Elephas maximus indicus: one gene and its partners. The protein of the gene in region 2 purifies or fractionates together with the protein of the main gene of each other region. This does not show direct contact. Links are inferred from orthologs where the notes say so. Each region holds a gene or a part of one and is shown on either strand. Other genes may lie near its edges.

Evidence for each region.
Region 1: the proteins of MYCBP (region 2) and SPAG5 purify together in Homo sapiens (co-immunoprecipitation; 3 studies listed by BioGRID and IntAct, with this or other methods). This does not show direct contact. The link is inferred for Elephas maximus indicus from reciprocal best matches to the Homo sapiens genes MYCBP and SPAG5.
Region 3: the proteins of MYCBP (region 2) and ARFGEF1 purify together in Homo sapiens (co-immunoprecipitation; 4 studies listed by BioGRID and IntAct, with this or other methods). This does not show direct contact. The link is inferred for Elephas maximus indicus from reciprocal best matches to the Homo sapiens genes MYCBP and ARFGEF1.
Region 4: the proteins of MYCBP (region 2) and ARFGEF2 purify together in Homo sapiens (co-immunoprecipitation; 4 studies listed by BioGRID and IntAct, with this or other methods). This does not show direct contact. The link is inferred for Elephas maximus indicus from reciprocal best matches to the Homo sapiens genes MYCBP and ARFGEF2.

Annotation. Positions count from the first base shown.
Region 1 is NC_064837.1:23,292,549-23,299,865, forward strand, and holds the start of SPAG5 (sperm-associated antigen 5), read left to right. Parts: upstream 1-4,300; 5' UTR 4,301-4,363; coding exon 4,364-4,414; intron 4,415-4,665; coding exon 4,666-4,791; intron 4,792-7,317. UniProt on the Homo sapiens protein: Essential component of the mitotic spindle required for normal chromosome segregation and progression into anaphase. Required for chromosome alignment, normal timing of sister chromatid segregation, and maintenance of spindle pole architecture.
Region 2 is NC_064821.1:80,558,821-80,566,207, forward strand, and holds the start of MYCBP (C-Myc-binding protein), read right to left. Parts: upstream 3,011-7,387; 5' UTR 2,987-3,010; coding exon 2,903-2,986; intron 2,708-2,902; coding exon 2,635-2,707; intron 1-2,634. Other genes in the region: GJA9 (gap junction alpha-9 protein), read right to left, coding at 4,609-6,135. UniProt on the Homo sapiens protein: May control the transcriptional activity of MYC. Stimulates the activation of E box-dependent transcription by MYC.
Region 3 is NC_064833.1:75,191,135-75,198,694, forward strand, and holds the start of ARFGEF1 (brefeldin A-inhibited guanine nucleotide-exchange protein 1), read left to right. Parts: upstream 1-4,546; 5' UTR 4,547-4,751; coding exon 4,752-4,875; intron 4,876-7,560. UniProt on the Homo sapiens protein: Promotes guanine-nucleotide exchange on ARF1 and ARF3. Promotes the activation of ARF1/ARF3 through replacement of GDP with GTP. Involved in vesicular trafficking.
Region 4 is NC_064843.1:20,611,524-20,618,389, forward strand, and holds the start of ARFGEF2 (brefeldin A-inhibited guanine nucleotide-exchange protein 2), read right to left. Parts: upstream 3,024-6,866; 5' UTR 2,840-3,023; coding exon 2,719-2,839; intron 1-2,718. UniProt on the Homo sapiens protein: Promotes guanine-nucleotide exchange on ARF1 and ARF3 and to a lower extent on ARF5 and ARF6. Promotes the activation of ARF1/ARF5/ARF6 through replacement of GDP with GTP. Involved in the regulation of Golgi vesicular transport.

The DNA of each region.
Region 1 (7,317 bases), on a different chromosome or scaffold from region 2:
ACCTAAAGTCCTTTATCATATGTTGATCTGTTCATTTGTTCACTGATTTAACAAATTGGTAATCTCAATTCCTTGGTTACTTCTTTAAAGAGCATTTTCAACATAGAATCTCGTCAGCTTTTTAAAAAAATGAAGCAAGATCATATTCACTGGTTCCCTTTTATACAAATGCATTATTAACCCCTGGGAAGAATTCTGATAATCAGTAATGATTTTCTATTTACAAAAAAGCATGCTACATTTTACCTAAAGGCCCATTTTGCTTATATTCTGAGAATATACACATCATTTCAGATTTCACTGTAAACCATGAGTTTTGCCGGTTTACAGAGCCCTACTGATTAGCAGTGGTCATATTGCTTCCTTTGTTCAACACTCCATCATACACAGCAGAAGAGGTAATAATTCCACAGTTTCTTCCTTGAATTCACTCAGAACGGTCTGGTGGACACTTCTCAGTTTTGCTGATTTGGGTTATGTAGTTGGATTTTTATAAAACAAATATCTAAACCTAAAATTAAAAAGCTATAATTGTTAAATTGGGCCCTATCTCTCATATAATGTGCAAAAATTAATTCTAGATAGATTAAACACTTAAATGTTATACATTAAAATGCTAAAAATCTCAGAACATCTGGGAGACTAGACCTACAATAAAGAAATGGAGGAGATACCTAAACCAAGACAGAAAATGAGAGAGTTATAAAAGACATTTTCTAAGAAAGACACATTTAACTACCTAAAAATTCGATGAATGACTCAATCAAGACAAGAAATCCAAGTACTTTGGAAGAAAAGATAAACATTTGACAGCATAAAAATTAAAAGCCTTTGTATGGCCAAAACCAAAACCAAACCCAACCTGATGCTGTCAAGTCGATTCCGACTCATAGCAACCCTATAGGACAGGGTAGAACTGCCCCATAGAGTTTCCAAGGAGCACCTGGTGGATCTGAACTGCTGACCTTTTGGTTAGCAGCTGTATGGCCAAAGGAACCATTAATAAAGTTAATGGACAAACAATAAAGAAAAAATATTAGCAGTGTGATGACAGAGTTAATGTCCATAGCACAGAACTCTTAGTTAGAAAAGAAAAACAACCAGTGTTTTAAAAGGGCAAGGAAATGAAGTGACAATTAATTAGATCTCTGTCAGTTGATAGAGACTCTTAGAAGACTCTATATAAGACACAGAGAAAAAAAATGATTCCATTTTTAAAAAGGACTCAGTTACTTTTCCCTCCCCTGTGTGTGTGTGAGAGGGAGAGGGGAGTAATTCGAGTGGAAAGAGGAGAGGGAAAAATAAAAGAAAATAAAGGCTTGCACTACTAGTCCTTAATCCCAAAGACCCCAGTAGACACATCAATTAATTTTTGAGGGAAAAAAAAATACAAGTGTTTGTGTATATACATAAAGAAATTATAAAGAATTAGAGCTATATTAAATGACAGGAATTTCTAAGATAAGTAATATATTTATTTACAGAGCAAAGTGTAATCATACTTGACTAAAGACAAATGACTGTATGTGTTTGTATAAAGGTATACACACCATTGGTTACCTCAAGAGGGTAGAATGGATAGGGGAGGTTTTGGCTTTAATACATCTTTGCATTGTATTATTTCACTAATAATAATAAGGATCTATTACTTCTATAATTTCAAAAATACCAAATTAAAGAAGTTATTATGCAAAACAACATCAACAAACTAATTTGGTTTATGTTACCTATCACTCACAATGGCATTTTCCCTCTCATCTACCCCTCCATGTCCCTCTTAATTTTCTGATGGAAGCACCATATCCCTTTGGCTACCTACCTGGTAACATATCAACTACAACAAGGACTGTGCATTCTAATTCACACATTTTTATGATACCAGGTTTTACTACTGGCACTTAAGTTTTCTGTCTTGGCTTTTCTGCTACTTTCCACCCTTATATTATTTCCTGGGTCATTCTCACTGACCAGAAGTGCAACTTGGAATTCCCTCTGCAGAGTCTTGGGGAATCCCAGGCTCAAGTTCATCCTCTTACATTCTTTCCCCCAGTTTTCAATTCAAGCAACTGTTACCATCTCTAGTGCCTGCAGGTTGGGACCATTAAGTTTCTAGAGCAGTGCTGACCAACAAAACTATGATGCAAGCTTTGGAAGTTACTTTAAATTTGCTAGTAGTGACATTTAAAAAGCAAAATTAATTTTAATGTCTTTTATTTAACCCAGTATATCTAAAATGCTATCATGTCAAGATGGCTTCAATACAAAAAATGAGATTTTAAATTATTTTTTTCACACAAAGTCTTCAAAGTCTAGTGTGTACTTTAATCCTACTGCACATCTCAGCTTGGACTAGCAACATTTGAAGAGCTTAACTGTCACATGTGGCTACTGGCTACCCTAATGGACAACACAGTTCTACAGAAGCCTATCACCTAAGGGCCCTGCAGTTTATAATATAGTTCCTCCTCCCTGGATAACTGTCTTGTCCAGGTTCATTAAGACTTCTAGAGTGTAAATAAAGTGCTGTGAGTGGAACAGATATTCTATCATAAACTATAACTCTGAATATTTACCTTTAGGCTGTTTCCAAAAATCAATTCCACTTTCAATTTCCCACACAGAGGGGATTCAGGAGGCAGTAGAATGCCCTATTTGGTATGTGGGTTGGAATCTTGGCTCTGCCATTTGCTACCTGTGGGACATTGAACAAACTACATTAATCTCTGTATGACTTGGTTCCTTTGCCTGTAAAATGGGAATATTTACAGTACCTACTTCATAGGTGGTCAGTGGCAGAATTCTCACCTTCCATGTGTTGGATTCCCAGCTGTCATGGATTGAATTGTGTCCCCCCAAAATATCTGTCAACTTGACTAGGTCATGATTCCCTTGTATGATTGTCTACCATTTTATCATCTGATGTGATTTCTCTATGTGTTGTAAATTCCATCACTATGATGTAATAAGATGGATTAGTGGCAGTTATATTGATGAGGTCTACAAGATTAGGTAGTGTCTTAAGCCAATCTCTTTCAAGATATAAAAGAGAGAAGTGAGTATAGAGACATGGGGAGCTCATACCACCAAGAAAGCAGGGCTGGGAGCAGAGTGCGTCCTTCGGACCTGAGGTTCCTGCGCTGAGATGCTCCCAGACCAGGGGAAGACTGATGCCAAGGACCTTGCTCCAGAGCCGACAGACAGAGAAAGCCTTTCGCTGGAGCTGATGCCCTGAATTCGGACTTCTAGCCTACTGGACTGTGAGAGAATAGACTTGTCTTTGTTAAAGCCATCCACTTGTGGTATTTCTGTTATAGCAGCAGTAGGTGAGCAAGACACCAGCCAATGTAGCCACCAACCATCTGTCAGTGGAGGCTTTCCTGTTGCTTATGATGCTGAACAGGTTTCAGCGGTGCTTCCACGCTAAGGAAGAAAGGCCTGGTGATCTACTGAAAACCAGTCAATGAAAACCTTATGGGTCACAACGGTCCAATCTGCAATGATCAGTGGTCATGGGGATGGTGCAGGACGGGGCAGCATTTTGTGTGGTTGTGCATGAGGGTCGTACCTCAAGGCCACAAAAGCTAACGACTTCATAGGTCCTTCTGAGGATTAAATTAGTTAATACACATAAAGGATTTGGAACCGTGCCAGGCACATACTAAATGTTCAATACATGTTAGTTATTATTCCAGTAAACTTGTTGCAGGCCCTGAGGTAAGTCCCTAGAAAATACCAGAAATTCTGAAGCGGCTTTACAGCCGAGGGGCCACATTCTGGTTGAGAACTACCTCTCAGGCCATCACGGACACAGGACCTATGCGCGGACCGGCCAAGCCTCAATAAAAAACACTCCTCCGCTCACCTCTCCCTGACCACCCCCGGCCGGCTCTTTCCCGTCAAGATTGAGGTGGGGGGGTAACTGGGGACACCTGAGGAAAGACCTGCTAAGTCTAGGTCATGGAGACAACTTTTCTGACCGGATGTGAGGGTGGTCCACTAGAAGCAGGAGGGATGGACTCCTTGACTCTCCAGCTGCCCACAGCACCTTCCCTGAGGTGAGGCCACTAGGTGGCCTCGGGGCTGGCGCGGGCCCAGCCGCCCCGGCTCACGGAGGTGAGGGACGATCCCAGAGGGAAGCGCGCGCGAGCCCGGGGGCGGGCCGGGTCTGGAAGGGGCGTGACCAATTCAGGAGGCCCCGCCTACCCGCCCGCCGGGCTGGAGCCTGGAGCGGACGTGCCCGCCTGACGCACTTCGGCGCCGCAGCCAATCGAGAAGCGCGGAGCAAGTTCAAATAAAGACGGCGGGTGAACATGGCGTCTTTTCCTGGGTCTGGGTGGTGATCAGCCTCTGTTCTGCTCCGAAGATGTGGCGGGTGAAAAAACTGGACCTCAGTGCGTCGGCTTCGCCGCAGCCGGTGAGCAGAAGAGTCTCGGAGAGAGAGAACTGGGCTAGGGCTACTAGGGCGGGAACGCTGGCAGAGCCTTGTGTCCTGGATAGCTGGGTCAAGGCTGGGAGTGGAGGGGGGCGTGTGCAAGTCGTTCGTCCTGCCGCTTCAGCGGGACTGGTGACGGAGCCTACTCTTTCTCATCGCCTGAGGCTTCTAAGGGAGGGAGGGCAGCTAGGCTGGCAGAACCCGTGCTTTCTCACACTTGCTTTCTTTCTCAGGGAAAACCAGCTATGAGAACTCCCCTTCGAGAGCTTAACCTGCAGCCTGGTGCCCTCACCAGCTCTGGTAAAGGCCCCCCTGTGCACTCCTCACTCACCCCATCACTGCGCAAGCTGACGCTACAGGTGAGAGTCACCGGGACAATTTCGCATTTGGGCTGTTTGCCCAGGCCGAGAGCTCAAAGGAACACAGGTCCCGGGTTGGAACGTAATTAATAACGATAATGAAGTTTTCTACCTCAGTGACATCCATTTACAGCTATTCAGGCCAACAGAGAGGTGCCCTAGGGTGGTTAAAGGAAATTCACTGAGAACCTAAACCTCTATTTAGCTGTTAGTTTTTATCACCTCTTCCAAACTACTGAGAAATACTTTCAGCCTGGTTAGTGGTCTCCCTCTTACATAAGCTGGAGAGTTGACCTGCTGCAGCAGTGAAACGATATCCATTTACTCCTCGAGGTAGTCAAATGTTCTGCGGTCAAGTTACATACCACGGGAAATTAGAGTACTTGAACTACCTGATTTTAGCCCCTTGCAGAATTGCCCTCAGTGAGATGTGCTTTTGTCAAAGGTCTTGAGAGAAGTAGCCGTGTACAAACTACTTTTTACTTACTTTAAAAACTTTTCATGGAATGAAATTTACCCCTTTATAAGATCCCTAAGGAACCCTGGTGGTGCAGTGGTTAAGAGCACCGCTGCTAACTGAAAGGTTGGAGTTCAAAACCACCAGCCACTCTAAGGCAGAAAGATGTGGCAGTCAGCTTCTGTAAAGATTACACAGCCTTGGAAACCTTATGGGCAATTCTGCTTTGTCCAATAGGGAAGCTATGAGTCAGAATCAACTTGATGTCAACAGGTTATAAGGCTCCTTGCAGAAATTTCATTTAGAACTCATTGCCTGGGAAGATGGTCTTTACAGAGAAATCGTGTAAGTACCCTTTTCCCTTTCTGATAATGAGAACTATGTAGTTTATCATATTTCCCCTCTTGCTGTAGTTTCTAGAAAGCTCAGGATCAAATCTGATGATCAGGTATTGTTGTTATTGCTTGGTGCCGTTGAGTTGGTTCTGACTTGTAGACAGAGACCCTAGAAGACAGAGTAGAACTGCCCCATAGGGTTTACAAGGAGCGGCTGGTAGATTTGAACTGCTGACCTTTTGCTTAGCAGCTGAGCTCTTAGCCCCTACACAATCAGGCATAGCTACTGTTAATCCCTGAAATTGGAAGATTTGCCTCCTTTTTCTTCTTTGACCATGACTTCATATTTCAGTATTCCATTAACTTGATCTGTCTATCCTTTTCATGCAGTCTGAATTATTTTTGGAAGGAAATGGGGTATAAATACAGTAGATTAGAGGAAGGAAGAAGAATATATAAAAGCAGATGACAACCTGCATGTTTTAGTTTCTTAATGTTGCTATAACAAATATAGTACTGGTATAAAGTGGGTGGCTTTAATGAACAGAAATTTATTTTCTCAGTTTGGAAAGCTAAAAGTCTGAATTCGGGTTGCTGGCTCTAGGGGAAGTCTCGCGCTTTGTCTGCTCTGGGGGAAAATCCTTATCTCTTTCAGCTTCTCTTCCTTGGTTCCTTGGTAATCTCTACATGGTATCAATCTTTCTCCATTTGTGCTTCCTTCTGTGCCTAATGTGCTCTTTTTATATCTCAAAAGTGATTGGTTTAAGACATGCCCTACACTGGACATGGCCTCATTAACATGACAAAGAAAATCCTATTCCCAAATGGGATTACATCCACAGATAAAGGGATTAGGATTTATAACACATTTTCAGGGGACACAGTTCAATCCATAACATTCCACCCTTTGCCCTCCCACAAATTCATGTCCTTTCCACTTGCAAAACACATTCCCCCATCACATCATCCCAAAAGTCTTATTCTATTCCAGCATCAACTCCAAAACCATATCTTCTGGATCATCTAAATCAAGTATGGGTGAGACTTTGGGTGTGTTCTATCTGGGGTAAAACTCCTCAGTGGACTTATGAAACCTAGAATACAAGTTATCTACTCCTAAAGTACAATAGTGGAACAAACACAGGGTAGACATTTCCATTTACAAATGGGAGAAATTGAAGGGAAAGAAGGGCTCATGGGCACCAAGCAACTCCAAAACCCAGCAGAACAGATTACATTAGCTGTCAAGGCTTGAAAATAATCCTGTGTTCTCCGGGATCATTTGGGCAAGGGCCCTGCCCTCCAGACTTTGGGTATTGGCCACACTTTCTATATCCTGGGTGGAGGCCCCTTATCCTGGAGCTAGCTCCACCTTCCTGGACCACCGGAACAGCAACTCTGGTCCCTCGGCTTTGGGCAGCCCCATTCTCCTAGTCCATCTGAGTGGTGACTCCACCTTCCTGAACTGAGATGTGGAGACTGGACTCTTTGAAACCTAGGAGGCTGTAGCTCCACCCTTTGAAACCAAGGCAGTCCTCCTTTCTATAATTCTTCCAACAGCTCTGCCTGTATCTGAACCACTCCAGAGATGGTCCTTTTCTTTTTTTGGAGGACAACAAATATTTGCAACCAAGTAGCTCCACTGGGCTATTTCCTGCCTGTATAATTTCAAGAGCCAGACACCTTTCCTTCGTTTTGTCCTGTCTCTGTCCCCTTCAGTTTAAGCTGATGGGT
Region 2 (7,387 bases):
GATTTATCATCGAATTTTATGTTTAACCATCCTGTCTGTTATGGATTGAATTATGTCTCCCAAAAATACATGTTGTAAATCCTAACCTCTATGCCTGTGGTTACAATCCCATTTGGGAACAGGTGTGTTTGTTATGTTAATGAGGAAGGATTAGTGTAGGGTGTATCTTGAGTCAATCTCTTGAGATATAAAAGAGATACAAACCAAGCTGATTAGAGAGAGAAGCAAGCAGAAATGGGGGAAGAGAGATATCAAGCCACAAGAAGACTGCCAAGGAGCAGAGGCTTAAAGAGGCAAGGACCTTCCTCTAGAGCGGACAGAGAGAGAAAGCCTTCCCCTAGAGACAGCACCCTGAATTTAAACTTCTAGTCTTCTAAACTGAGAAAATAAATTTGTTTGTTAAAGCCACCCACTTGTGGTATTTCTGTTATAGCAGCACTAGACAACTAAGACACTGTCTTACAGTGTTTTAATGTTATAAGCAATGTCGAATCCTCTTGGAAATAAACTGGATAAAAATTACACATAAAACCTGTACAAAATACCAGTGTTTGGGGTTGAAAATCAAATTTTAGATAGGCCATATCAATGGACACTATGTTAAGTTGCCTGACATTATTTAGGAGACTGGAGATCTAGGGAGATGGAGGGGTTAGATTCCACTGGATGTGAACAAGGGAAAGGAAGCCTCCAGTGGTTTCTGATTTCTTAAAAAGCAAAATCCTTGTATGGCCACAAGGCTGTACATCTGTGCAGTCACCTTCCACAACCATCACTTCTCTTTTACCATTCTATCTTTCACTCACTCTATCCAGCCAGTCTGGCCTCCTTGTTGGAACTCTTGACATGTATTACTTCATTCAGGTCTCTGTTCATACTTCTTGAGAGGCCTTCCCCCACCACCCTGTATGAAATGGCACACACATTCCACCCATCACTCTTCATGCCTTTCTTTACCTTGCTATGTTCTTATTCATAACACTTATCAGCAGCTGACACTATGCATTTATTATCTGTCTCTCCTAACTAGAATATAAACTCCTAAGAGCAGGAACTTTTTTTTCCCACTGCTCTATCCCCAGGTTATTCTGAGTCAAATTCAACTGGAGGGCAGTTGAATATCTGCAGTGCCTGAAACAGAAACTTCAATAAAGTGGTTACTAAATAAATGAAAGAAACGATTTTGTGGAGATTTTCAAGAGGGGGGTGTTGACAGCATTCCAAGCATTTGTGACACTTCCAGAGACAACATAGCGCAACACTTTCACAGACCAAACCTGTTGCTGTGGAGTTGACCCCAACTCGTAGCAACCCTGTAGGACAGAATAGAACTGTCCCATAGGGTTTCCAAGGAGCGAACTGCCGACCTTTTGGTTAGCCGTCGAGCTCTTAACCACTGTGCCACCAGTGTCTCCCCATAATGTTTGCTGAAATTTATTTGCAAAAAGATTGGGAAACTAGCATGTGAGCCCAGGATAGGTAGCAACTCAAAATTTCTAGCCCATGCATGGTAATTAAAAACACTGCTTTCTGCTAAGACTCAGAATTATCTTTCTCCCAGAGTTTTCCCCTAACCTTTGCTTTTGCCCAAGGAACAGTTACCAAATTATTTCTCAAACACTTCCTATTCTTTTCATATGGACCCAGATCCTCATCCCTTCCAGCTCTTCCATTCTATACCTTTGAAAATCCCAGCCAGTGAGTTTAGTGACACATACCAGGCATTCAAATTACTGCTGAGCTAATGAAGTAAGCAGAGTCCCTGAGCGGTGCAAATTGTCAATGGTTGGGGGTTCCAGTCCAATCAGGACACCTCAGAAGACACATCTCCTGATCTACTTTTGAAAAATCAGCCATTGAAAATCCTGTGGAGCACAGTTCTACTCTGACACGTGGGGAGTCAGAATCAACTCGACAGCAACTAGTTGAATGAAGTAAACAGTACCCTATCGTGGAAACCTCCTGTTTCAAGCGCCTTGTCTGCTTAGATTCTGTACGCCTGGACGAAGAGATACAGTGTGAAAGTAAGTTTCCGTTTTTAAGAAGTGAAAACAGTATAACCCATGTTGATGTGCCCTCAAACTCTAAACTTTAATTCTACTTTAATTTTGAAATCTGCACAAAGAATTGATAGAGACTAAGAAATCGGCGTTGAAAAGCCACAACCAAATTGGCTATGAATCGCCTACCATGGGGATTAGGCTCAGCTACTTCATCATAGCTCACTTTAAATCTGCCAATTTTCCCACTTGCCCCTTGGTTCGACGGAAAATGTTTCTCAACAAGATTCTGATACTTCACAAAAACCAAGGCGGGAGGTATCCGGAGTTCGAGGTCTTTTACAATCACGCCCACTGCGGCGCTAGAAGCAAAGCAACGGAAGTTGGAGAGACTTTGCAACAGCTGCAAGAGTTTCACTCCCTGGCCCGGAGAGTGGTAACATGAGCGAGGCTACCCTCACCAGGGCGGCGTCCGGCAGTCGGCGTGTGCTGATCCCCGCGGAACCCCGGAGCCCACCTTGCTGGACCCAGGACGGGTTCCACCTGTTCTCCCTCCTCCACGCCACCGCCCGTCAGGGGCGCAGCGCCACGAGCACGACGAGGGCACGAGGAGCCCTCTCCTAGTTATGCTCACCCTTGGTCAGCGTGTCCAGCACCCCCGACTTCTCCAAGTACCTCCGGAACTGCTCGCGCTTCGAGTCGGCGGCCTGAGAAGACACGGCGGGTCAGTGGCCGAAGCCCACAGGGGCCGGAGGAGGAAGAGGGCGCTGGGAGTCCGGTAACCCCACCTCCGCCTCGCTACTTCAGGCCCCCCAAAATCTGCGCGCGTCCCCACTCCCACCGGTAGCCGACCGGCGGCTGGCTACCGCCCTCACGCCCCCAGCCACGCCGCGCCCCCTCACTTTGTAATGGGCCATAGTGACAGCCGCAGCGGCGTAGCTGGCGCCCGAGACCGTGGCTGGCGGGCTCTGGTCAGCACCGCTCATGCGCGGAAGGGCGCGTGCGCCTGCGCACTTGCGAAACGCGGCGGGGGATCGTCGGGGTGTGGCCTGTTTTCATGGCGACCGGGACGCTCTGAGTTTCCTACAGCGAACTGAGCGGAGGGAGGCTGCGTATGCCCGCCCCTGTCGCTATCAAAGCAGCGCCTCTTCTTCCGGTCCGCACAGCGATTCGGTTGCTTAGCGAGAGACGAGGTTACGGTGACTCCGGACCAGTGTCCGGGTGGGGCTCGAGATGGGCGTGGCGTCCGGGGGCGGTGCCTGCGGAGCCCTCGAGGTTTGGTGCTGGGAGCCGTGGGGGGGGGGGCGCACGGCACCGGGAGTGGGCAGGCTTTTCTCTGTCGGGGTTTTGGAACCCGTGGTAACCTGTGGGCGCGACAGATGCACAGCGACCCTGGGATTTCAGTTGGCTTGAGGGGAGTGGTTAGGATCGTATGCTCTGACGCCTCCTTTACGTTTGGTTTCTCCTTGTTTCTGTGGCTAACTTGATTGGGCCTCTGGAAGGTGAGTAGTAATATGCTAATAATATAGCCAGCAATTTTAATGGCTTACTGTGTGCCAGGCACTGTACTAAACACGTGTTTATTTCAGTCTTCACAACATCCCAGTAAAGGAGGTACTTAGCTCCAGAACTCTCTTTTAATCATGATGCTATATATAGGTGAGCTGGTAAAAGAAAAGCCACCAGTCTTTTTAAGATTTTATTTACTACGTAGGAGCATAATGGTTATTCTCAAGACACATCAGGCTGCAGTCTATAAGGAAACTGAGAAGTCTTAGAGGCAAAGAAAATTTACCCAGTGTTCAGAATTAAAAGATTAATAACTAAAAGGAGCAATTACATTGATCAAGAACAGCCTCCTAAGGCTGTGGTCCTTTCAAGGAGAAAACCTGGTTCCAAACCATTTGGCCTCCATTCGGAACACTGATTTTCCTAAAATCTGTTTTCACACATTCTGATGAGAACCATGCCTGATTTGGTAATTTTAGGTTTTTGAATTTAAACTATCCTTTCACAACTCAGAATTAGAGCTGTTTTTCCCTTCTTGAAGGTCCCTGGGTGGCGTAGTTTGCCCTCAACTGCTAACCTAAAAGTTGGCAATTCGAACCCACCCAGCAGCGGTGCTGTGGAAGAAAAGGCCTGATGATTTCCATTCATAAGACTGAAAACCAAAATTAAACCCGTTGCTATCAAGTCGATTATGTAGTGATCCTAAAGGACACAGTAGAACTGCCCCATTGGGTTTCCAAGGAGCAGCTGGTGGATTCAAACTGCTAGCCTTTTGGTTAGCAGCTGGGCTCTTAACCACTGTACCACCAGGGCGCCTTCATACAACTACAGCTAAGAAAATCCTATTGAACAGTTCTGCTCTGTCCAAGAAAACTCTATTGAACAGTTCTTGTCTGTAACACACGGGGTCACCATGAGTCAGAATCTACTCCTTAGCAACACATTAGGTGGTTTTTTTGTTTCCCTTTTTTAAATGAGTTTACAGTTGTCTTAACAGCTGGTCCTCAGAGCTGTCTTTGTCCCTATATTCTCCCTGCTCCATCCCCACTAGGCCACTTCTGTAATGTAATATGCACAATGTCTAAAAGCCAGAAGCTGTTCATATCTGAAGGTCTGTGGGTGCCCGCCTACCGATGACGTTGTTTGTCAGAGACACTAAATGATTTGAAGGATAAGCACTAGGATTTTTGCAGGTTCTGACAAACTTAGTCTCAAAGGACAACTCTCCCAAAGAGTCAGGAGTGCCTGGAATGTCAAGTGGTTGGGAGTCTCCCTGTAAAGGAGGAAGGGTTCTGATGGTGCCCTCTCCAAACAGGCCCTGGAGGCTACCTTTAGGAGGTAGTCTCTGGTTTTGATCCTCTGTAAAGGGTCTCCATGTAGCACTAAGCCTCTTTGTTTTCCAGTTGCAGTTAGCTGGCAGAGAGAAAACTTTTTGGGGTGACTGTGACACGTGGTTTTCCAAATCTACAGAAACACCTCTAGAGTAATGGCACCTTTCACTGTCTGTGCCAAAGTTTTCTCTTCTTTCCTTTACCTGGTTGTCATCCACATCTTTTCCAGATATTTTATGAGTTCCATCATTATTTGAGCTGATGTGTTGAAGATGACTACCAGTAGTACTAATTGTGTGCATCTCATTAGAAAGTACAGTTTCCTGTTCATCCAAAATGCATTTCTCATTTCCACTATAACTGTCAGGGTCTACCTGCAATGCAGAAGATGAATTGAAACTAGGATACACTGTTTTGTGTGTTTTCTTTTCCACTAACAGGTTATAATCAGGTGCAGAAGGGAGTCCCTTCAGTGAATTTGCAGATACGCTCTTATATTTGGTAGGATTTTGTTTTGATTTGTTTGCAAAGAATTCATTATGTTCATCCTTCAGTTTATATTGTCCCCAAAGCCCTCTTTTAATCTTTTTAAAACCTAGGTGAGCAATTTCTAGAACATTTAAGAAAAGTGAAACAGTGGCTATGGACTGCATAAACAATAGGAATATTGTTTTTTCTGTTGGTCTTGAGATAAAACAATCAATCGTGTTTGGACATGGGTGGCTATGGCATTTAAATAGAGGCTCTAAGTGAAATCCATATAAAAAATACTGTCCAATCATGAACCCAACTTCAACCGCAGAGCGAGTGAAAATGTGTATCACGTAAGTGCAAAGTAACATTCCTCTGAGCGGAGCTTTATTTAGTTTTCTTTGCTCCAACTGACAAAGCTCCTGCTCCAGTCTCCTCCGATGCCCAGTTACTTCAAATTCAACCTCTTCCAGTTCTCTTCTCAACTGAGTTTTCATCTCCTGCCTCTCTTTCTCCAGAACTCTCAGTCGGTACAAAGCATGGCCCATGTAGACCAGAGATGGTGAAGACACAAATATGACCTGTAGAACCCAGTATCTAATGAGGGAGATAGGAAAGGCCTGGTCATAGCATACATTTCTGCAGCCGGGTTGTTCTGTATTGCAGATGAAGCCAGACTGCTCATCATTCCAGACGTCTTCAGCTGCTACACCCAGAACAAGCATTCGAAATATGAACAGGATGGTGAGCCAGATCTTTCCAATCATGGTGGAGTGGATGTGAACTTCCTCCAGAATACCTCCAAGGAAGTTCCAGTCCCCCATGTTTATTTAGTCAGCCATCTTAGGCCTGAACCCCACCAATTAGGAGACAAGTAGATTTCTTCCATTCTAAAGAGAGCGCTGTTCCTTAAAGCAAACCTATGGCCAAAAGATGAATAAAGCATCATTCTTACAGTGTGCTGGTTGCTTACTTTTTCCCTAGATAGCAGTGACAATCTGTTGTTGTTAGTTGCTATAGACTTGGCTCCGACTCATGGCAACCTTATATATGACAGAAAGAAAAGTTGCTCTGTCCTGCACTAATAATGTTACCAGGAATATATTTAAGATAAGCCAGGAATTTAAAATCACTCATGTTTCAACCTAATAATGCAATTAAAAAAAAAAAAAGTGATACCTGGGCGAGGTACGTATACATTCTCTACTAAGAATAGAATTGTAAGATTTTCTGTTAAAAAAAAAAAAAAAGTCTTCTTACTTGGCTGATAGGAAGTTTGTTCTTTGTCTAAGCTGTAGAGTTTTCCTAAAATGACTGGCTTAATCTTACAAACGTATTTACTAAGATTATGTTGTTGTTGTTAGTTGCCATCAGGTCCGTTCCAACTCATGGCAACCTGTGTGTGGAGAGCAGAACTGCCCCACAAGGTTTTCAAGGCTGTGGCCTTTCAGAAGCAGATTGCCAGGCCTTTCTTCCCTGGTGCCTCTGGGTGGGTTTGAACCACTAACCTTTCAGTTAGTAGTCAAGCAGTTAACCAGTTGTGTCACCCAGGGACTATGTTATATAACCAAAGTCAGTGATTTTTAAATCTCATTTATACACAAAGGAAAATGAATTTGATTAATTCAGTAAGAGACAGCATTTAATAAAACCAGAGGAGACAGATCTGGCTCTTGCTGCAGGAATTTTGATTAGTTTTTAAATCCACATTTAAATGTTTAAATTCTGATTTCTTTCTGGCAGATGTTGAGCATTTCCAGAAATCCATTTTAGTAACATTTATGAATATTTATAAAATTCTTATTATACTTTGCAATGAAAATCTTTGGAAAGTTTTACCATGTTAAAACGAATTCCAGAAATTCTAACTATTTTGTTGTAACAGAATGCTATTAGATATTACCTAAAATAAGTGGACCCGGGTGTAGTGGTGGTACTATAGAAATTTTCCTCGTAACAATATTTGATCTACTTAAAACATGTAGCTTTCTATTTTGGAAGGGGCAGTGGGGCAGGTTATAATTTAGCTACGAGGAGGTTCATATTAAAACTGATATCCTAGGCTCTCAAAGAAAA
Region 3 (7,560 bases), on a different chromosome or scaffold from region 2:
CCCAAAACAGTTAAATGGGGAAAAGACAGTCTTTTGAACAAATGGTGCTGGCATAACTGGATATGCATCTGCAAAAAAATGAAAAAAGACCCATACCTCACTCCATGTACAAAAACGAGCTCAAAATGGATCAAAGACCTAAATAGAAAATCTAAAACGATAAAGATCATGGAAGAAAAAATAGGGACAACGTTAGGAGCCCTAATACATGGCATAAACAGTATACAAAACATCAAAAAGAACACAGAAGAAAAACTAGATAACTGGGAGCTCCTAAAAATCAAACACCTATGTTCATCCAAAGACTTCACCAAAAGAGTACAAAGACTACCTACAGACTGGGAAAAAGTTTTTAGCTATGACATTTCAGATCAGCGCCTGATCTCTAAAATCTACATGATACTGCAAAAACTCAACTGCAAAAAGACAGATAACCCAATTAAAAAATGGGCAAAAGATATGAATAGACACTTCACTGAAGAAGACATTCAGATAGCTAACAGATATATGAGGAAATGTTCACGATCATTAGCCATTAGAGAAATACAAATCAAAACTACAATGAGATTTCATCTCACTCCAACAAGGCTGGCATTCATCCAAAAAACCCGAAATAATAAAGTTGGAGAGGCTGTGGAGAGACTGGAACACTTCTACACGGCTGGTGGGAATGTCAAATGGTACAACCACTTTGGAAATTGATTTGGCACTTCCTTAAAAAATTAGAAATAGAACTGCCATACGATCCAGCAATCCCACTCCTTCTAATACATCCTAGAGAAATAAGAGCCTTTACACGAACAGATACATGCACACCCATGTTTATTGCAGCACTGTTTACAGCAGCAAAAACATGGAAGCAACCACGGTGCCCATCAATGGATGAATGGATAAATAAATTATGGTATATTCACACAATGAAATACTACCCCCCCCAAAAAACCCAGTGCCGTCAAGTCAATTCTGACTTATAGCGACCCTATAGGACAGAGTAGAACTCCCCATAGAGTTTCCAAAGAGCGCCTGGTGGATTCGAACTGCCGACTCTTTGGTTGGCAGCCATAGCACTTAACCACTACGCCACCTAATGGAATACTATGCATCTATAAAGAACAGTAAGGAATCTGTGAAACATTTCATAACGTGGAGGAATCTGGAAGGCTTTATGCTGAGTGAAATTAGTCAGTTGCAAAAGGACAAATATTGTATAAGACCACTATTATAAGAACTTGAGAAATAGTTTAAACTGAGAAGAAAACATTCTTTTGTGGTTACGAGATGGGGGAGGGAGGGAGGGTGGGACAGGGGTACTCACTAACTAGATAGTAGATAAGAACTACTTCAGGTGAAGGGAAAGGCAGCACGCAATACAGGGGAGGTCAGCACAATCGGACTAAACCAAAAGCAAAGAAGTTTCCTGAATAATCTGAATGCTTCGAAGGCCAGCGTAGCAGGGGCAGGGGTCTGGGGACCACGGTTTCAGGGGACATCTAAGTCAATTGGTATAATAGAATCTATTAAGAAAACATTCTGCATCCCACTTTGAAGAGTGGCATCTGGGGTCCTAAACGCCAGCAAGCAGCCATCTAAGATGTATCAATTGGTCTCAACCCACCTGGATCAAAGGAGAATGAAGAACACCAAGGACACAAGGTGATTATGAGCCCAACAGACAGAAAGGGCCACATGAACCAGCGACTACATCATCCTGAGGCCAGAAGAACTAGATGGTGCCTGGCTACAACCGATGACTGCCCTGACAGGGAAAACAACAGAGAACCCCTGAGGGAGCAAGAGAGCAGTGTGATGCAGACCCCAAATTCTCATAAGATCAGACTAAACGGTCTGAGACTGGAAGGGCCCCGGTGGTCATGGCCCCCAGATCTTCTGTTGGCCCAGGACAGGAACCGTTCCCAAATCCAACTCTTCAGACATGGATTGGACTGGACAATGGGTTGGAGAGGGATGCTGGTGCGGAGTGAGCTTCCTGGATCAGGTAAACACTTGAGACTATGTTGGCATCTTCTGCCTGGAGGGGAGATGAGAGGGTGGAGGGGGTTAGAAGCTGGCGAAATAGACAGGAAAAGAGAGAGTGGAGGGAGAGAGCGGGCTGTCTCATTTAAAAAAAAAAAAAAATTTTTTTTCTAGCAAGGCGTATATGGGTTTTTGTGTGAGAGACTGACTTGATTTGTAAACTTTCACTTAAAGCAGAATAAAAATTATTTAAAAAAAAAAAAAAGAGGACTAGGATGGGATGGTAACACCCTCACCAGGTTGCATCCCTGATCCAACGTAGAAGGAGTTTCCCTGTGGTGTCGCTTGTAGCTTTTATCTTACAAGAGATAAAAGGAAAGGCAAACAAGCAGAGAGCGGGGGACCTCATAACATCATGAAACCAGTGCCTGGAGCAGAGCTTGTCCTTTGGATCCGGGGTCCGTGTGCAGAGAAGCTCCTAGTCCAGGGGAAGATTGTTGAGAAGGCTGACAGAGAGAAAAAGCATTCCCTGATGCTGACACCCTGAATTTAGCCTACCTTAAACTTCTCTTCGTTAAAGCCAAAAAAAAAAAAAAATTATTCGTGGCTTGTTGTTTTTCATGTTTCATCTTTAAACGTCCATAGTTGTCAAGGTCTGTATAAACCTCTTTTGGAAGACATTTAAATATAAATATTGTAATTTACTTCCAAACTTCTAAAATACATTTCACATATTGGTATTACTTGCATAGCTATTTATTGGTCCTCTTTTACTTATATTTAATGTCAAATCAGTAAAGAAATCACGATTTTATGCTTTCTGATTTTATGCTTTTCATGATCATCTCTCCTATTCTACAGATGAAGCTGGCAGGCTAACTGATATGCTCAAAATCACGCTGCTAGGATGTGGTAGATTCAGGGCTAAAATCATTGCTTTTTCCACTGTGCTTCCCTCCTAACTTGATGGTACAATTGGAATTGGCTTTTATACGTGTTTTCTAATTGATATAAATATTAGCTCCATTTTGCTTTCTGTTGATTTGCTATTTGTAAATATATTTATATGTGTTATTCCTTAACAAAACTAATCAATCCATGGATTTGCTTTTCAGGACAGGCAAGTTTTAAAAACCGATTTGTCCACTTCATCTAATTCGGGGTCACCTTCAAGTTTTCTTTTTTATGTCCCATGGTTTTTAGCCTGTCCCAACTCTTGTCATTTCACAGCCTCTCCATTCTTGGGTTTGGATGGTTGCATCAGGAGCAAGTCCATAGTCAAGGCAATCAAACCAACCGAATAAGGAACCCTGTGTGGATGAAGTCACACAGCAACCTGGAACTTGGTAAGAACAGATTTCAGCTTCTCATCGAAGACTTGCCCCTAAATCACCATGTAAGTCGTCTGCATACATTTTTATGGTATTCTTTATAATTTTCACCTCAGGAAGAAACACGAAACACGGTAGAAATTTGAATTCCTTTTTGGTACCAAGCATACCAATGGGCACATTTGTGTGTGCGTGTATGTATACAACTAAAGAAAGACATAAATCTTTATTTGTATATCTGTTTGTATTTAAATCTCTTCCATTCTGAAAATGCTTTTGATTTCTTGGACTGAATCTCAGTATTAAAGGTACAGAAACACTCTAAGGGACCTTATCAATCATTTACGTTTGCTTAACTTCAGACGCAATTCAGAAGGACCTGAAATCTGGAGTTTAAAGGTTTATTCTACAAGATAGAAAAGTGAAACAGTCCTGAATCTTTGCGAATTGGTTTTAGTTTACTCTAAGAGAGAATCCGCCCTAAGGCAGTCGGAGGGGCATTGTCCTGGACAGCAGTTTCACGCACTTGCAAACGGAATTTAGAGTCGAGCATTTGGAAACACAGTGGGGCTCAGAACGGACGAAACTGGCGTTTCTGTGACTCCCGTAGGGAAAGGGGCTGCACTCCGACCAACTCCAGAGTCAGCGACGCCGGTGCAGCAGGGAAAGCAGCTCTGCTAACTCCGCAAAAGCAGAGGTGCGGGGGGTTCCCATCCCCGCAGAGTCGCTGGGAGGAGCCCGAATCGCCCGCCGCGGCGCCGCAGGACACCCGCCACGCCCCACGCCGCCCTGCGGGCGAACGCGGGAGACGGCGCGGCCCCATTGGGCCGCCGTAGCGCTGAGGCTCGGGCCGCTCCTCCGCGCCGTCCTCCGCCCCCAGCCTCCCGGCGCCGCGGCAGCTCTGGCCTGGCAGCGCCACCGCCGCTGTCGCTTCCTCCTCTGTAGCCGTTCGGCCGCTGCGTGACGCGTCGTTTCCTCCCAACATGGCGGCCGGGGCAGGTCGGCGGTGATGGAGGCCAGTCCGCGGCCGCGGCGGGTGCTGATCCCCACAGTAGCCACGGCAGCCCTGCCGTCGCCGGGCCTCTGAGCCCTCGCCACTGTCACCGCCTCGGCCCTCGGTCCCCGGCTGACAGCCGCCGGGTCCGGGTCCCTTGCCGCTGCCGGGCCGTGGGACGTGTGAGGGGGGCGGCTGGGAAGCGCCCACCGGGCCGGGAGAAGCGGAGTCCCCTCGGGGCGCGGGCCTCTCGGGGGACGGCGCAGACTTGGCCCGCACGGCGGCTGGCCCCGCTCCCCCGCCCCTTCCTGATCCTGTCTCTGCCCTCCACGCCTCTCCCCCACCTCCGCCCTCCTTTCTCTCTTCCCTTCCTCCTCCTCGTTCTCCTTCTCCTCCTCTCCGGCCGCTGGGAGCCGCGGGTCGGACTAGCCGCCGCCGCCTTCTCTGCGTCCATGTATGAGGGGAAGAAGACGAAGAACATGTTCCTGACCCGGGCGCTGGAGAAGATTTTGGCCGACAAGGAAGTGAAGAAGGCGCATCACTCCCAACTGCGCAAAGCGTGCGAGGTGGCCTTAGGTGAGCGGCGAGGAGGCCCCGGGACTGGGGGCGGGGGGGGGGCGGGTGGGGCGGCTGGCGTGGCGACCCCCGCAGAAGGTGGAGTCGACCCGGGAGCTCGGCCGGGGCCCGCGCTGACATCAGGGAGCCCTCGCGAAGCTCTCTGCTGCCTGGTTGGAGTTGACAGTAACTCGGCTGGATGTGGGGCAGAGGCAGGGTGGCTGGGCTCGGGGGACGCGGCAGGTTCAGGCGCCCGGGTTCCAGGGAGCCGCTCGAGTGTATGACAGGATTTTGTTGGTGAACGGTGCGGTGCGGACGGAATGCCGCCCTTTGTGATGGAGCACAGATGAGCTGTTGTTGATTAGCTTGGAAATTGAAGTGGAGCTGATATGTTAAGATCGGGTACGTGGGAAGGATTCTGCATCGTAATTACGATAACTTTATCGTTCAGCGTGTTACTTTGGGAAGATAGACTGAAGTTGTTCCCTTGCTGACAGCCTGAGAAGGGGTTTTGCAAGAGGTGCAGCTCGTTCTGACATCTCTCCGCCTCCGCCACAGGAAAAACAGTAATGTTGTATATGACTGGGCTGACCTGGAAGAACAAGACCAGAGGTTAAGGGGTGGGGGTGGCGGTGTAAGAGCAGGGAGTGAAAGGACCTTTAGATAAGCTGACTTTAGGTGACAAGAGAAGGGAGGGGTTGAAATGAGAAAAATGAAAAAGACAATGACACACACCAGCCACATGTCTGGACAGTGGCAGCTGCTTTCAAGCTTGAATTGTAATTTATAGTTCAAACGGAAGAGATCTAGTGTAATAAAGCCTGTAACAGGGTAAATCTAAACAATACCTATAGGGAGGACATGCAGATAAGGCACTGTTAAAAGGCGGAACACTTATAGATCTGTTGCATCCATCAAAGATGAAATCGTTTAAGGAGACACCAGGACAGTTAGCAGAGATGAATTCTAATGCTTAGACATTATTTTATAGCGCTGGAAATAGACTAGGTCAAATTAATGAGAAAATGAAGCTTCTTAAATGGGATGACAGGCTTTGGAAAACAGCGTTTTTTTTTTTTTTTTTCTTCCAATTGTGCTTTAAGTGAAAGTTTACAATTTAAGTCAGTTTCTCATACAAAAACTTACACACGTGTTGTTATGTGACCCTAGTTGCTCTCCCTAGGATATGATGGCACACTCCTCCTCTCCACTCTCTATTTCCCCTGTCCATTGAGTCCACTCCTGTCCCCTTCTGCCTTCTCATCTCTCCTCCTGACAAGAGCTGCCCATTTAGTCTCCTGTATCTACTTGAGCCAAGCAAGAAGCACACTCTTTACCAGTATCATTTTATGTCTTACAGTCCAGTCTAATCTTTGCCTGAAAAGTTGGCTTACGGAATGGTTTTAGTCCTGGGCCAACAGAGAGTCCGGGGGCCACGTCCTCAGGGATCCCTGGCTTCTGGAATGGTTTTAGCTCTGGCTTAACAGAGAGTCTGGGGGCCGCATCTTCAGGGATCTCTCCAGTCTCAGACCATCAAGTCAGGTCTTTTTACTGGAATTTGAGTTTTGCACCCCACTTTTCTTTTGCTCTATCAGGGACTCTCTGTTGTGTTCTCTGTCAGGGCGGTCATTTGGTGGTAGCCGGGCACCATCTAGTTCTTAGAGTGTCAGGTGGTTTATGGAGTCTCTAGTTTATGTGGCCCTTTCTGTCTCTTGGGCACATATTTTCCTCATGCCCTTGATGTTCTTCATTTTCCTTGCTCCAGGTGGGTTGGGACCAATTGATGAACCTTAGATGGCTGCTTGCTAGCTTTTAAGACCTCAGACGCCACCCACCAAAGTGGGATGCAGAACATTTTCTTAATAATCTTTGTTATGCCAGTTGACCTAGATGTCCCTTGAAACCATGGTCCCCAGACCCCGCCCCTGCCACTCTGTCCCTCAGAGTGGAAAACAGCATTCTTAAGGGTGGGGCAGGGTGGCATCCAGAATAATTTCAATTTATGCTAAAGTAGAGAGTCAGGATTGTTTAAAAGCAGTTTTTCCTTTTAATTATAAGAATAAATTGAAGACTACAAGTTAACTTGCTATAATATACTATATTGTTTGTTTTCTTCTTTTTTAGATCCCTAAAATTGGTGATATTAAAAAATATTGTTGAAGACCTTTCATCTTCAAATTTTTGACTCTGTAGTATAGTGGCCTTAAGTTTAGCTTTCCGCCCCATCATGGATCGGAAGTTCACCTTTGACTTGTTTTGTAGCTAACAAAAGGTGGTTCCAGATGTGCGAGAAAACAGTTGTACAGTGGTAAAAATTGAATTTATATCTGGGTCCTGAAAGGGGTAATTATTAAATTATTAATTATTAAATTGGGGTGAGCTGAGGGAGGGAGTGATTTTAGGATTTTTAAAAATATTGCTATACAGTGTAGGTTTATGAATAACTTGCAGGTTTAAAAACTTGAGGTTAAAACTAAAGTTTTAGTTTGTGAGTTTATTTTTTCCATGTTAGAAAATACTCTTCATATACTAAATTGTAAGTATCTGACTAAATTACCATAGTATGTTGTGTGTGTGTGTATATATATGTATTTTTTTCCCCTCCCTGAAATGATAATGTAAGTAAGTGTGTTTGAAGAGAGAGCTCCCTGGATTGAGAACCTGGGATCTTGAGTTTTAATCCCAGTTTCAATGCATTGCAATATT
Region 4 (6,866 bases), on a different chromosome or scaffold from region 2:
GTCAGGGACCAACTTGACGGCAGCTAACAACAGCCCATTTCTTACAATTCACTACTAACACACTGAAAGTGCATGCATTCTACAATTTTGGTTGGAAAGATATGAACTTCTGAACAAAGTTATATCTATCTAATAAACTCTCAACATTACGGCCCTTTACGACCCATATGGCAATTTTAAAAGAAAGTTCCAACAACATGACATACAATTTGGTGGAGATTTTATGTTAAGTTTTCTGAAAGGGGAATGAAAACATTTCTGCCAAATAACTATTTTGAAACTTCCACAATACTCTTTAAGTAATAATATTGAGAGGACAGAGTTCAGGCAGATTTCAAAGTGGTTATAAACACTAGACTTCTGCCTAACTAACAAACTACTTTTTAGTGCTTAGCCTGCATTCTTATACAACAATATCCAACAGTTGGCCTTGGTTGTCTGAATAGAAAAGCTTTAAAAAAATCTAAATCTTGGTAAATTCCTACCACTGATCCTGAATTTCACATGGGGTCACTATGACTCAGAATTGATTGGAGGACAACTAACAACAAAAACCCAACTATTTCCAGATTATCTGGACAACAGCAGCCTCTATATCAATAGTTCTTGACCCCCGAGGGAGTCTCAGACCCTTCTGAGAATCTGATGAAAGTTTTGGACTCTCTTCCCTGAGATGAGCAATTTTCACAAGCTCATTCCTAGCACCCAAGAACCCCAGCTCTATACCTTGCACCAAATGAAGGGAGAAAGGTGATGGCAATATCAAAATCTGTGACAAAAAAATAAAAACTTGCACGTGCTCAGTCAATTTGTTAAAGAGTCCAAACAAAGGCACTGCAGTGGTGAATTAGCTTGAAGACAGCTCTGTTCAATGTATTGATCCCACTGCCCTAAACTCTTCTCCTGAAACTCCACATGGGATACTTCTTGCCTTTCAGTACTAAGCTCAAATGTCACCTCCTCTGAAAGGATAACTTTCCTGGAGGCCCAATTTAAAGAAGCCCTCAGACCCTCTTTACCACATCTCTTTTATTTTCACAATAGTATTTATTACTATCCAAAAATACTTCATTTATTTTCTTATTTACTTTAGGCTCTCTTATTAGGATCTAATGGGGCAGTTCTACTCTGTCCTATAGGGTCCCTATGAGTCGGAATCCACTAGATGGCAGTGGGTTTGGTTTTTTTTTTTTTTAGAGTCAAAGCTTTGCAAAGTGTTAAAAAGCAAAGATGTCACCTTGGGCAATAGGGCGTGCCTGACCCAAGCCGTAGTATTTTCAATCACCTCATGTGCATGCGAAAGCTGGACAGTGAATAAGAAGACTGATCAAGAATTGATGCCTTTGAATTTTGGTGTTGGTGGAAAATACCTAATATACCATGGACTGCCAGAAGACAGAACAAGTCTGTCTTGGAAGAAGTACGGACAGAATGCTCCTTAGAAGCAAGGATGGTGAGTCTTCGTCTCACGTACTCCGGACATGTTATCAGAAGGGACCAGTCCCTGGAGAAGGATATCACGCTTGGTAAAGTAGAGGGTCAGTGAAAGAGAGAAGACCCTCAACAAGGTGGACTGACACAGTGGCTGCAATGATGGGCTCAAGCATAGCAACGATTGTGAGCATGGCACAGGACCTAGCAGTGTTTTGTTCTGTTTTACAGAGGGCTGCTATTGAGTTGGAACCGACTTGGCGGCACCTAACAAGCTTCAAAAGGGCAAGGATCTTGTCTGTCTTGTTTCCCAGTGCCTACAACAGTGGCTGGTACACAGTACGCATCTGATAATTATTTGTTCCGTGAACAAAACTAAAAGATAGGATGTTGATGCTGGTCTCAGCTACCAAGAGTTTTAACTAGCTATGAGTTAGGGTTTCTCCCTTTTCCATAATCTGCAGTCCATTCAATCGGCAAATATTTAGTGAGCATATGCTGTGTGCCAGGTACTGTTGCAAGTGTGGGGGACATAGTGAATAAAACAAATATGTTTGCCCTCACTGACCCTACATTTTAGTGGACCAACAAGAATAAGCAGTTCTCTTGCAACCCATAACACCTGGGAGCTATAGAATAAATCTCTACATTCCTTCCTTGAGGTAAAGAGCTATGAACGGATTAAAAAACAAACAAACCCACTGCCATCGGTCAATTCCGACTCATAGGACCCTACAGGACAGGGAACTGCCCCGTAGGGTTTCCAAGGCTGCAATCTTTACGGAAGCAGACTGCCACGTCTTTCTCCAGCGAAAGAGATATGGGAGATCACCAAATAAAAGGAAAACATTCTCCAATCGGGCACTTACAAAACGAGCCTCAGGGGTTCCCCCGAAACCAGTTGGACAGCTCTTCCCACCTATATTCTGCTCACCTGGGGGAACCCGAACCGGTAAAGCCCAGGTAAAGAGAAAACTTGGGGCAAGGGCTGCTACTTTTGAGGACTTGGGGTGGTGAGGGGAGGAACCAGGAAACAGGACAGCGAGGAGTCGTGGCAAGAGCCCTGGGCTGGGAGGCTGGAGAGCCAGCTCTGACTGTCCCCAACTTGCTAGGTGACCTTGGGCCAATCCTGAGCTTCCCCGACATCAGTTTCCCCTGGGGATATAATGAGTATGCCGAGAGGGTGGGATTCCGGGCCCAGGGGCGGGGAAAGCGGAAACAAGGAGGCCGACTGAGGCCCGGTGGGGTAACGGCCGGCGTGGGGCCGGGCCGGGGCGGCTCACCCACCGAGCGCCACCTGGCAGGCCCTGCGCAGCTGGGAGTGCTGGGGCCGCTTCACCTCCTTGTCGGCCAAGATCTTCTCCAGGGCCCGGGACACGAACATGCTCTTGGTCTGGCTCTCCTGCATGGCCCCGGCCCGGCGGGGGCTCGCAGCCCCGCGGACGGGCGGCGCGAACGAGCCGGCGAGCAAGGCTACGGCCCCGGCGTCCCGGCCGGTACCGGCCGCGTCCGTCTGCACCGCCCCGTCAGGGAGCGACGCCGCGGCCCCACGGCGCCGCCATGTTGGAGCGCGTCACGTGACCACGTGACGGGCGGAGCCGCTAGGGCTGCCGCGCGTCTGTCGACCCCGTGCCCTGACGGGGCGGGGCCTGATGCTGGGGGCGGGGCGGGGCGGGGCACGATGGGAGGGCAGGGGAGGGGCTGAAGATGGAGGGAGGAGGGAGAAAAGGCGGTGAGAGGGAGTAGAAACCTGTGAAGAGGGGACGCGGGTCGGGGGGAAGAAAGGAGAGGGAGGAGAGGTGGTGATGGGAAGAGAAGAGCTGAGGAAAAAAGGCAGTGAGGAGGATGGGCCTGGAGATGATGGGGTTAGAGATGAGGAAAGAGAGATGAGAGGGAAAGAGGAGGTGAGACGGAAAAGAAGAAAGGAAGGCGAAAAGAGGGAAGTCTGGAAAAAAGAATTGGTGCGGGAATGAGATAGATGATAAGGGGCAAAAGGAAGAGGTGTGGAGAAAGAGGAGGTGAGGGGGAAGATTGGAAGAAAGAATTGGCGGGGGAGTGAGAGTTGATGAGGGAGTGGGAGGAGTTGAGGAAAGGGGAAGCAAAGAGAGGAAGTGAGGGATGAGGGGAGGCATGGAGGTAGAGAAAGTGAGGGGAAAGAGGAGGTGGAGATGGGAGAGAGGAGGTGAAGGAGTAAGAGAAGGGCTGAGGGGAGAGAGGAGGTAGAGAGAAGAGTCTAGGAGAAGAGCAGAGAAGAGGAAAAAAGATGAGGAGAAGGGAGAGAGAAGATAAAGGGAAGAGGGAGGAAGTTAGGAGAAAAGGGGAAGAGGAATGAAATGGAAAAAGATGATGTGAGGGGGAGGCAGTGAGAAAGAATGGAAAGAAAGCACACTCGGAAATGGAAAGAGAGAAGGAGTGAAGGGAAATAGGAAGTGAAAGGAAGGCAGGCAGAGAAAAGGTGTATTTGTGGACAATTTCCAGAAACAGTATTTTACCGTTCCCATCTGCAAAACACACAGCATCCGCACAACCCTCCTGTGGCCATGGCAGAGCCAGCTCCTGGTATCCGGCTCACTTGTGTTTATTGCGCGCCACGTCTGTGCCTGGTGCTGCCAGGAAGGTCTCACTGCCAGTCCACCTCCTTTTGGAGTTTATCTGGTCTATTTTCATAAACCTGTGATTCCTTACAATGCTGCAAGCAGGCCGGGAGTGTTTCCTACGTTTGACAGAGGAAGAAACGGAGCTCACCACTGATACCACAACAGCCAGTAGTGATGTCCCTGGGCCCCTTCACACACCACCCACCTCTGCCAAGAGAAACTGTGTGGCTGCTGGGACTCATACGAGGTGAGGCCCCTTCTTATAACCCTCAGAAACCTCCATGTGAGTGAGGTCAAATCCTCAGGTCTCAGCTCAGACATCTCAGGGAGACCCTTCCTGACTACCCAGCAGAAAATAGCCCCCCCTCCCTATTTTAGGAAACCCTGGTGGCATAATGGTTAAGTGCTATGGCTGCTAACCAAGAGATCGGTAGTTCAAATACACCAGGCGGTCCTTGGAAACTCTATGGGGCAGTACTACTCTGTCCTATAGGGTCGCTATGAGTTGGAATTGACTCGACGGCAGTGGGTTTGGTTTTGGTTTTGGCTCCCTATTTTATGATTTTTATAGCATTTTTCTGATTTTTTCTTTTTTTTTACTTGTTGACTTTTTTGTTGTCTACTAGAACGTAGGCCAGGGAAACTCTGGACTGTATCCCCAGAACCAGGTAGAATGTTTCCTGGTCATAAATTCCATTGCTTTGAAATGTGACTTTGCAGGTCCTTTCATCAGGTGATGGAGTCTATTTCTCCACCCCTTTAAGTCTGTTCTACCCTTGTGATTTGCTTTGGCCTATAGGATGTATTTGCTCACTACCATCTTCCCCACGTAGAATGCAAATTCCATGAGCTCACAGCTCTATGCCAGAGTCCATCGTACTTACGGAATGAATGAGTAAATGGAGGGGGCTGGATTTAGGTCCACGGGATTTAATCTTTCAATCAGCAAGTTATTTGTGGGGTACCTTCTATGCTTTTGTGGGGTACACAATAATGACTCCCCAAAGATGTCCACATCCTAATCCCTAGAACCTGTTACTTTACATGGCAAAAGAAACTTTGCAGATATGATTAAGTGAAGGATCTTGAGATGGGGAAAGTATTCTGGATTACCAGGTGGGCCCAGCATAATCACAAAGGTCCTTATAATAGGGACCCTGAAGGGTCAGAGTTGGAGAATGGGACCTGATGACCAAAGCAGAGGTCAGAGTGATGTGGGGCCATGGGCCAAGGAATGTGGTGGCCTCTAGAAGCTAGAAAAGCATAGAAGTGGATTCTACCTTAGAGCCTCCAGAAGGAACAAAGCCGTATTGACCCATTTTAGACTTTTGGTCTCCAGAACTCTGAAAAAATAAATTTGTGTTGCTTTAAGCCACTAACTCATTGCCACTGAGTCATTTCAGACTCATAGCGCCCCTATAGGATGAGTAGAACTGCCCCATAGGGTTTCCAAGGCTGTAATCTTCATAGGGAAACCCTGGTGGCATAGTGGTTAAGTGCTACAACTGCTAACCAAGTGGTTGGCAGTTCAAATCCACCAGGCGCTTCTAGGAAACTCTATGGGACAGTTTTACTCTGTCCTATAGGGTCGCTATGAGTCATAATCGACTCAACGGTAGTGGGTTTTGGTATAGTTTCCAAACTGGGTTGGCACAAGGAGCTTCAGCTTTGAAATCCAGCATGTCAAACCTCAACCCCACCATTCAGTATGACCTTGGACAATGATTTTATCACCTTGAACCTCAATTTCCTCATCTGTAAAGTGGGTAATCCTAACTGTAACTTGTGAAAATCAAGTGAAATGATGCATATAAATCATGTACCTGCACTACCAACCATTCGGACCAGACACACAATTGATGACCCTGGATAGAATGGGAGAAAAATGTAGAACAAAACTCAAATTCCTAAAAAAGGGCCAGACTTACTCAACCAGTAGAAACTAGAGGAAACTCCGAAACTATCACCCTGCGTTAGCCTTTAAACGTGGAGCTCAATCCACTCCTGTGGTCACCTCTCAGCCGAGAGAGAGACTGGCTCATAATACTACCACCCGTGAGTGCTGTGCTTCTTTAAACAAGCATATAAATGATACCTAACGGTTAACATTTACCCTAGACCAAAGATGAGACGATAAGGAGGGACAAGGAAGCTAGATTAATGGAAATGGAACAACCAGAATGGAAATACTGAGAATGACACATTGTGAAATGTCTCTGAATAATATGTACGGAAACTGTTAAATGAGAACGTAATTTGCTATGTAAATTTTCTCCAAAAACACAGTAAAATATTTTTTTAAGTATTTTAAAAATATATTTTTTAAAAAGACCAGACTTAGCGGTCTGACTAAGGCTAGAAGGACCCTGGTGGTCATGGCCCCCAGACCTTTTGCTGGCCCAGGACAGGAACCACTCCCGAAGCCAACTCTTCAGACATGGATTGGACTGGACGATGGGTTGGAGAGGGATGCTGATGAGGAGTGAGCTTCTTGGATCAGGTGGACACTTGAGACTCTGTTGGCATCTCCTCCCTGGAGAGGAGATGAGAGGGTAGAGGGGGTTAGAAGCTGGCGGTATCAACACGAAAAGAGAGAGTGGAGGGAGAGAGCAGGCTGTCTCGTTGGGGGAGAACAATTGGGAGTATGTAGCAAGGTACATATAAGTTTTTGTGTGAGAGACTGACTTGATTTGTAAACTTTCACTTAAAGCACAATTAAAAAAAAAAAAAAAGTGCCCTGGCCACTTAAAATTGTTCTAAGAGTTCAGGGCCTGGCAAACTTCCCCAGGTCTGTCCTAAATTACTAACCAAAAAAAAAAAACAAACAAGCCAGTTGCC